Schizosaccharomyces pombe: one gene and its partner. The gene in region 1 interacts genetically with each later gene. Each region holds a gene or a part of one and is shown in the gene's direction. Other genes may lie near its edges.

Region 1 (4,127 bases):
ATCGTTTCCAGCTTCAGGTTCAACTCCATAAACTTCGCAGTTTGGAGCAAAATGGCGAGCAGCAAGTGCTGATCCAGAAAGCAAGCCACCGCCTCCGAGACAAACAAAAAGTGCATCAAGAGGGCCAACCTCTTCAAACAGTTCCTTAGCTGCGGTTCCTTGACCAGCAAGTACATGGGGGTGATCGTAAGGAGGGATAATGGTAAGACCTTCTCTTTCAGAAATTTCTTTGGCCATCTTTTCTCTATCATCTTTGTATCTATCATACATGATTACTTGACCACCATAGCCTTTCGTGGCAGCGACCTTGGCTTCGGGTGCATCGAGTGGCATAATGATTTTTGCTGGAATTCCCAAGATCTTTGCCGACAGTGCAATGGCCTGAGCATGATTACCAGAAGAAAACGTCAAAACACCAGCTTTACGTTGAGCTTCATTGAGTTGAGAAAGAGCATTAAGGGCACCGCGAAATTTGAAAGCACCCATTTTTTGGAAATTTTCACATTTAAAAAACACTTCTGCCACAAACTCTTTATTTACTGTGCTCGACGTGAGTACTGGGGTTTTGTTGGCGAATTTCTTAATTCGCTCACTAGCTGAAGCAACATCATCATAGGTAGGAAGCACCAGGTTATCGCTCATTGTCGTAGTTTTTTAAAAATTTAAAAAGAGTGAAAATATCCTTTTATTCTGTAAACTATTCAGTCTTAAAATGCAAACTGAAGAATTTAACGACAATGAGAGATGTCAAATCAAGCAGAGCTCTCGATCATTTATAGAGAGAACCGTCAACTGTAACGCTATCTTATCTTTACTATGAAAAGAAGGTCAAAAAATGCGAGCCCAACTCGGAAACGAATTTATAGGCGACAATTGTAAAGACACTTACACAATTAGAACCAAATGGAAATGAAACAGCAGGACGGAGCTCCAACTTGCTAGTTCATAAAACAGTGACATGTAGCATAGCGAGTATAATGCTAATCACTATTTGTAGTATTCCTCTGTAATAAATGTTAACATTATATAGTGAGAATTTCAAGATGTAGAAACAGTCTGTTAAGAGTGTCATAGAATATAACGAAAATGCATGTATAACAATTGTTTCGACTCATTGAGTGCCAGAATAGTAACGTCTTTCTACCTTTAGCGTGATGAACAGTCATGCAGCATTGGTTAAATATATCAATAGTTTGAACCAAGCCTCGTTAATTTCTGTAAACTGTATCTGCTCAGCAATGGACTTGACTGCAGCTTAAATCAGTTTAGAAATAAATATCCAACAAACGGTGTTTTGACTTTCACATTACTATGCATATAACTCGTTACTAAAGAGTTCTTTTTTTTTATGAGAAATCTTAATCAAGAATGAAAAAGCTGATAATTAATGCTAAAACAATCGCAGAATTATATAATCCGTCATGGTCCAGTGGCTAGGATTCATCGCTCTCACCGATGCGGCGGGGGTTCGATTCCCCCTGACGGAGATTTTTTATCGTGTACTTTTCTAAATTGATTGAGAAATACGATAATTTATTATCAACTACAATTGTTAATTCACTTTTCGGTCCTTTTCTTTTGGTGTTACTCTACTTACTGAATTCTTTTCTTTTCTTGTTAGTTAGCACTGTCTCCTTCTGAAGCGTTAATATTGTAAGTATTCTATAACTAGTATTGAATAGTTCACTGTATATCGTTATTCGGTAAACAAACAGTGGACACATTGAAAAGAATAAAAAACAGATACTAAATATACTTTTAAGCCTGTGGTATTGGGATGATATAGAATATTCTGTTTGTTTTCCTTTTATTTATTTTGTTGAGAACGATACATGTCGTTTTTTTTAATAACATTTGTAGAATCGAAGTGGGTTCGTATGCTAAATAAATTCGTTCATAATTTCCATGTAAATAATCTTTGAAACACCCTTTGAGTATTCATAAATAACAACGGGAATCAGAGCCTCCTTCTTAGTTTGAAAGAAAGGAAGATAATAGCAGGCTGTGTTAAGACTCAGTAAACATGGTGTTACCTCAAAATGTAAACAACAACGCTCCTACTTCTGGACGAACTTGTCAAAAGCCAACATCAGCGTTTTTTTACGAAATAATGTCAGATTCAAAGTTGGCAGATTCTTTGAATTGCCTTTCTGTGTCAACTCCATCAACCACAGCTAATCCTGGGAGACAACAGCTTTTACGACTTGCAGTATCAAACCAACGACAAGTAAATAATGTTAGTCTAGCAAATGGGAAGGAAAACAAACGGACTTCAAATAGCAAGTTCAATTCTTCCCTTCGTAAGATAGAAGAGCCAATTGCTGGAGTACCTTCATCAGCTGGTCCTCAATGGCGAGAATTTCATATTGGAATGTTTGAAATTGGAAAACCCTTAGGGAAAGGAAAGTTTGGAAGGGTATATCTAGCTAAAGAGAAGAAGACCGGGTTTATTGTGGCTCTCAAAACATTGCATAAGTCTGAACTTGTCCAGTCAAAGATAGAAAAGCAAGTTCGACGAGAAATTGAGATTCAATCAAATCTTCGCCATAAAAACATTTTACGGCTATATGGGCACTTTCATGATGAAAAAAGGATTTATTTGATTTTAGAGTTTGCTGGCAGGGGTGAGTTGTATCAACACTTGCGTCGTGCAAAACGATTCTCAGAAGAAGTTGCGTCTAAATATATCTTCCAAATGGCTAACGCCTTATCCTACTTGCATAAGAAGCATGTAATACACCGTGATATCAAACCTGAGAACATTTTATTAGGAATTGATGGAGAAATCAAGCTTTCTGACTTTGGTTGGAGTGTCCATGCACCTTCTAACCGTCGTACCACTTTATGTGGTACATTAGATTACTTACCACCTGAAATGGTGGAGGGAAAAGAGCATACCGAAAAAGTTGATCTCTGGTCGTTGGGTGTCTTAACTTATGAGTTTTTGGTGGGAGCACCGCCTTTTGAGGACATGTCTGGTCATTCAGCTACGTATAAGCGTATCGCCAAAGTTGACTTAAAAATTCCAAGCTTTGTTCCTCCTGATGCACGGGATCTTATTTCTCGTCTATTACAGCATAATCCTGAAAAAAGAATGAGTTTGGAACAAGTTATGAGGCACCCTTGGATTGTAAAATATAAAGATTCATGGACTCGCAAAAGTTCTGAATCTTCCTAACCGCCATCTTGGTACTTTTTATTTAATTTTTCCTTCTTCTCACTACATTTTTGCATTACTACTTTCTTTTTGTTTCAGCGCTCTTTTTAATCGCGCAGCTCACTATATTCCTTCAGAACTTTTTTGATCTTTGGGGGTTATGGAGGTTTAATTATATGTAATATAACACACTCATTTAATAGAGGATCACCACCATAAACTAATCGTTTTCCAGATTTTCTTTTCGAAATCACTTAGAAGACATTCATTTTCCTAATAAAAACTATTTAAAAATTTATCATCACTTTAGCCAAGCTAATAATAACTTCCAAAAAAACTGTTACAATATGTATAAAGATAAAGTACGCCAAGCACATAATAAGTTGCATAACAAGTGAGAAGTATGCTTCGATATTTTTTAAAAGCCAACGTAAATGCTGTACGGGATATTATAAAATGGGAGGGGAAGGGAGTTGACATAATAACTATCTGACTTTTGTAAACTGGTATTTCAATAGACTAGACGAAAGAATGAATAGTTAGTACGAAGAAAAAAATGAATGAACAAAACTACAGCGAACGTACTTTTTTCAAAAGGCCTGAAATCGTTGAAACAGGAATTGAACACTTCTTCAACGATTGCTTCTGCTTGCTCTTTGCTTTTACAATTCGGGTTACCTTGTACGGAGATAGTAGCTCGTCGTTTGACGCATTCTTGATGATGCTTCCGAAAAGTTTTAATGTTACCAAAACGAAGTTCTTTGGTCCAGCGACACTCACCACTCATACTACTAGCACGAATTTCTGAACAAGCCTGATGTCTCAAATTGTTCCAATCGACTTCAAACCTGTGGTCGTCAAACATGTGTATCATTTCATGGGCAATTGTATTCTCTGCCATTTTTTTAGTATAAAGTCTGTTTTCACACAGAACTATCCCTTTACCGGGAATGTAACCTCCAGTACTTTG
Region 2 (5,676 bases), on another chromosome or scaffold:
TATTGCTCCAAATTCTCTGAAGAAGGGATGAAAGGCTACAAACAATCGTAAGCAAGAAGCTTCTCTGAAGTTAAGAGAATACGCCTATACTTACACCATCATGTCGAAAAGCACATCCATTTTCTGAATGCTTACAGGATCCATAAAGTAAGATATTTCTACATAATGTTCGTTTAGCTTTGGAATGGTCTATTAAAAATGGTGGTCAGTCAAGTTTTGCTTTGAATTTCCATTTACCTTTCAAATCAGTCACTGACGGAGACCTGGAACTCTCCCTAGAACGGGAAGTTGGCTTTGGGCTTGCAGGAGAATTCTTCCTCACACTCATCCTGTCAATTTCCAGGCAATCCCAAGCTAACAGTCTGAGATTATAGCAATTTAGTTACAGGTCGTGGAATCAGTAAGTCCCGGACAATACTAATAATGCAGCACAACGAAGTTTACTGTAATACTTTGCAACGCTACATTTTGTTTATATAACAATTTCATAGTAGTAATATTTAAGCATTTGAGAAGACAGTAATTCTAATTTATTTTTTATCTGTTCTTTACATGTAACGGGCAGTAACTATTTCGAAAACTTTAACAATAGCAAGTGTTATGTAGCAGTTGAACATGTCTTCGTAATGCTGCTATCTTTCTGCGATCACTGTAATTTAATTGCAAATCATAAAACCAAAGTAACTGAATTTTTTTTATCTTAACTTCTTCCTTAGTGCCAACTTTTGCGAATTGTTTCAAATGCAAAGCTATGTTTTTCAAGCAATTCGGCCTCCCATATATAGCCATTGCAAGTAAGAAAACTTAGTTCGCAGTTATAAATTCCCTATAGAAACTAACAGCTTGCCAAATTCACACTCCCCTGTTTTGCTATAAAATGCAATAAAAAATTACTGAAAGGGGTGGGACTCGAACCCACGAGCTTTCGCACTAGTGCCTTAAACTAGCTCCATAACCACTCGGACACCCTTCCTTTTTTGATCTGTCAGACAAAAAAGTATATATTATTTATTTAATTAATTAAAGAAATTTTAGGAATTCAGAAAAATATTTAAATTGCTAAAAAGAATAATAACAGACTGTCAATTATAAAAGCATATTTATTACCCTATTCTCTTTACATTGTCCTCTAAAACAGAGTAAGGAATGAAAAGTCTAATTGAGTTAAAATAGCTCAAAATGAAAAGAGAACGGTGAATTTTGTATTGAATAAGCTTTTAATTTTTTGAGAATGGTTACCCATGTTTTAATACATTCTTGAAAACTTAAAGACAAGTGTATGATATTTGGCATTTATCTCTGTCTGATTGGAAAAATTATTTTTAAAAGCTATGGCAAGTATGTGAACAAAAAATGGAGAAAATGCGTGAATATTGTAGATCGAATCATTAAAAAAATCCAATAAATGACAAGCGTATAAAGCATGACAAATTGCTTGTAGCCGTTCAATAGAAACTTTTATGTCTGTGCCGCTTGCTATATACTAAACATAAACAAATGGTGAAAGATATTTGAACACAAACTAGTTAACTCTGTCTGCTGATCAAACGAACGATAGGTTGCATGCATTGGGTTGCTTATTCCACTCAATAATTACTGCAATAAAATCAGCATCGGCATCTCGAAAAAATGTATGGCTTAAAGTGTTACTTCGTTAAAAACCTCTTCGTCGTTAACCGATGTCTATATTCCTAACAATTGTTTATAACATCGGAACTTGATATTTACATTTAAATCTTGAAAACAATAAACCTTTTGATCATTTGTAAATTGGGAAAGCATAATTGTTTATAAATTTAGTTGGAAGCTTAGGTATACAACTACTGTTGTATATTGTTGACATTTGATTGCTTCCACCACCGACCACTCTCCAGCAACTAGCTCATTCTTTATATGTAACCAAACAGGATGGGCTCTAATGGGTCAGAACTATGGTTTAATAAGGAGTTGGAATACTCCCAACAACTCACTAATGGAAAAATGAAAGAATTCTTCTTCCTTGTATCTGAAACCATGGACTGGTTGAATGAACACATGCTTGAAGTTTCCAAGTTACAGCTAGAGTCGTACGCATTTGTTGTTTATCATATGTGCTAATTAGATGGTTAGGGATATATATGAATTAGTGAGAACACCTACCAAGATAAAGGAGAAGTACTCCACTCCTCGTTTAAGTCCTGTACATCGATGTGCGTTACCAACGCCTCGCATGCGGTTAACATCTATTCAACATCAGCTTGAGGAAGCTGCTGTTGAAGGATATAAGTCGGGTGAATCCAATACAGTCAAGGAACCTAAAGAATTACATACTGCTACTAATACAGAAACCCAATTTGATGATGATAGGGATTCTACTAAGCTATCTTCTGAATATGTCAAAGATGATATAGTTAATAAATCTACTAAAGGTGGTGTATCTCCTATTAAAGAAACGAGATTGCCGACTAATTTGCCAGCTTTTAGTCCTACTTCAGTAGAGCGTCGTTTTACTGAATGGAACGTTCCTCTTCGTGAAACTTCGCCTTCCCCATCAGAAACTGCTGACAGTCCTAATAAATTACCAAAGCAAAAGCACCCCGCTTATTCTTTTGTCACTTTACCTAAACGTGAAGAGATTTTGAAAAGACCTGCATCATTACACAGTCGTGTGGAATCAACTAATTCATTTATAAATCAGTTAAATCGCCGGCGTACTAAAGACAACTTAACGAATAATCCTGAAATTTCATTAGATGAACCTATCAAGGCACTACCTTCAACTACTTCTGATGCTCCTTCTTCTTTGTTAAATACCAATGTGTCCTCTAGTCCTTCTAAATTTCGAAAATTCCTTTCATCAGTCATCCCCGCCAAGACAGATTTATCAGCCAAGGAATCGCTCACGTCGTCTACTAGGTTATCGACTTCTTACAAAACTCGTAAAAGAAGTTCAGGAGTCGCCTTCTCTTCTGAAACTGTTACTTCTTCTTCCAAGGAAAGAAAAAGGTCTGTCGAAAATGAAATGCTTAAACCTCATCCAACTATTTTTGAATCCCCTCCCGAAATTACTTCCTTCGATAAATCCAACGCAGTAGAAGCTGAGGCATTAACGGCCAAATTAAAATCCAATGAAGAGAGACTACCTGTATCTTCTCAACCTGGAAGTGATGCCAAAAGTCAAGAGTTTGACTTTTTTGAAGCCAAAATTCCCGATTCTATTGCTAAATTGAACGAGCTAACTGCCTCCAATGAAAACCACTATGAACTGAAAACTTATGATCGTGCCGAACGATTAAGGCAGAAAATACAAGAAGTAAGTTCTAATAAAAGATTAATTCCTTCGACTCCGCCCACGAAGAAACCGATTAATGCAGTTTTAGATGCTGCTAAAAACTCTGCAGCTAAGGATTTGCACCTTGCTAAAATGAAGCTGAATAATAAAAACGACGAGTCTTCCTTAAGCCCTGCAAAAAGTCATGCTGTAATCACTCAAGCGCCTAAGATCCCCCTGATAAGCACATTCACAAGGCTTTCAACCAGAAAGTCGTCAAATGATTTTAATTCTTCAAATTCTAGACCAAGCTCAAACGCTTTGAAATCGGATGCAAACGAAAATACGGACTCTTCTTTGCCGCCTTCCAAGAAGGAATTTATTGAAAAATCTCTGCACAAGTTATCTGAACCATTGCATGATGATTCTCGTCAAAATTCTGATCACAACTTTGCTCCGCATTCACGTCCGATTGCAATTCGTGTGGCCACAGCCTCTCAACGCGAACTTGAGCAAACTGAAAAGCGAAAAGCAAAAAATGGAGCAGCAAATGCTTCAAATATGGAAAGCCGCTCTTCTGAAAACGAAACTCATCGCTTCAAAAAGTTCTATGGTAAAGAACGAGAGTTATCAAACAACGAATTTCCAAGTCGTCAGACCAAAACTGTCACATCAGCCAATTCATCTAACATTAGGGATATGGAACATACTATTTCCGATAAACCTCGTTCTGAACCAGATGCTATACCATCAAGTAAAAGCATGCACTCAAATAAGCCATTTGAGGAAAAATCAGAAAAACCAACGACCAAAAGACTTGTTACTAACCCATCAAATGTGAATGCTTCATGGCATTCAAATATGTTAAAAAGACAAGAAGATTTACGAAAGAAGAAACCGTTAACCGACAACGGTGCAACTTCAAGGCATATGCTAAAATCTGGGTTAACACGCGTCACGTCGAAACCCACTCAAAGGTTTGCGAATGAGCTAGCTGAGGACATGTCATTGGCATTTCATTCAACTATTCCAAAAAAAATGGAGCCTGACTCAGTTACTTCTGTAACTCAGCCTTCTGTTGGTAGTTTGAGAAACAACTTCGATATAGGGACCACTAATAGTCAGAATGAAGATCGAAAAAAGAAGATAGCTGCACAAAAAAATAAGAATCCCGTACATGGTAATGTCGGTCTTACGAATCAACATGGATTCAAAACAATGCATCACAACGTCAACCCTTTTACTAAGCAGAATGGTATTATGAAAGGAAAGCTTCCATCTTCTAGTACTTCACAATCAAATAAACCTTTTATTGAAAAAGCTTCTATGCACGCTCCAGCTAAAGGTAGGAACTCGTCTATGCAGGAGCCCTCTTCTAAATCACCGTTACTGAAAACGCCTAAGTCGAATTATTTTCCTGGATATGGATCCCTATCGCCTAACACGTCTGTGGAATTACCAGAAATAAATAGCGATTATTCGGATGATTCAGATGATGAAGGTAATAAGAAAAAGGTAAATTTACCATCGTGGGCTGAATCACCTGAGTTACGAGAGCAATTAAAACGACAACAAAAGTGGGATCCAGACAAAATTTTCGGTATGATTAAACCTCTGCAAATGGATGAGTATTTCCGATCGAAGGATCGATCGAAGATTCGATTTCGACCAAGAAGCTCTTCTGCTGACTGGTCATCTCAAGATCGTTTGACCCAAGCAGAAATTGATAACTATAAGAAAAACATGGGTTTTTTATAGAGTTCTGGATTTTTGAAATGAATTTTGTATATTAAAGAACTGGGAAATTAATAGAGAAATACTTTAATTTATCTTATGAAACAATTTGCATAGAGTTAGATGACAAAATTAAATTAGATTAAAGGTTTTTGAATCTACTAATAACAATTATAATGAAATAGACCTCCATCTTAGACATTGAAGCATCGCTGATAATTAGTTTTTGTGCCGCAATAACATTAGCCATTAACAAACGTAGTTTGACATTGCCAGAAACTTAATCTACTTGTTCAAAGTTTTAATTTCTTTGAACGAAAAGAAACTGTGAAAGTACTTCTATCATCAATAGTTTAGCACAGTTTACATTGCTAGTTTTGGTTACACTAGACATTTACGTTCCACCATTTTAATAAAACTAGTGTAAAGCTTTTTTACCGTCTGGTTGGTTACTTTAAAAAAAAGAATTATTCTATTAAATGTGTGAACTAACGTAACCCGCACCTGAATAAATCATCCTAACGAAACATTAAGTCTATGGAAGAATATGAAGATTTTGAGATGGAAGATTTGAGCGAATTAGTCTCTTATATGGACTATCTTGAAACACAAAGATTGACTATTAGCCAATTGGATTATTCTTTGAGCATTCCACCACAATTGCTCGTAAGCAGGGAAATTTCTAAACTAGA

What was found. A genetic interaction does not mean that the proteins touch.
Region 2: of ark1 (region 1) and pic1, extra expression of one rescues a mutant of the other (dosage rescue), as found in Schizosaccharomyces pombe (one study listed by BioGRID).

Annotation. Positions count from the first base shown.
Region 1 is NC_003421.2:139,552-143,678, forward strand, and holds ark1 (Aurora-B kinase Ark1), read left to right. Parts: upstream 1-2,078; 5' UTR 2,079-2,110; coding exon 2,111-3,178; 3' UTR 3,179-3,487; downstream 3,488-4,127. Other genes in the region: serine racemase Sry1, read right to left, coding at 1-642; peptidase Atp23, read right to left, coding at 3,669-3,676, 3,743-4,127. UniProt on the Schizosaccharomyces pombe protein: Component of the chromosomal passenger complex (CPC), a complex that acts as a key regulator of chromosome segregation and cytokinesis.
Region 2 is NC_003423.3:2,767,363-2,773,038, forward strand, and holds pic1 (INCENP-like protein Pic1), read left to right. Parts: upstream 1-1,845; 5' UTR 1,846-1,908; coding exon 1,909-2,066; exon of another isoform or gene 2,067-2,109; coding exon 2,110-5,008; 3' UTR 5,009-5,176; downstream 5,177-5,676. Other genes in the region: PAN complex subunit Ppk26, read right to left, coding at 1-35, 95-189, 238-328; single-strand DNA-specific 5'-3' exodeoxyribonuclease Exo5, read left to right, coding at 5,522-5,676. UniProt on the Schizosaccharomyces pombe protein: Component of the chromosomal passenger complex (CPC), a complex that acts as a key regulator of mitosis. Has a role in sister chromatid cohesion and condensation.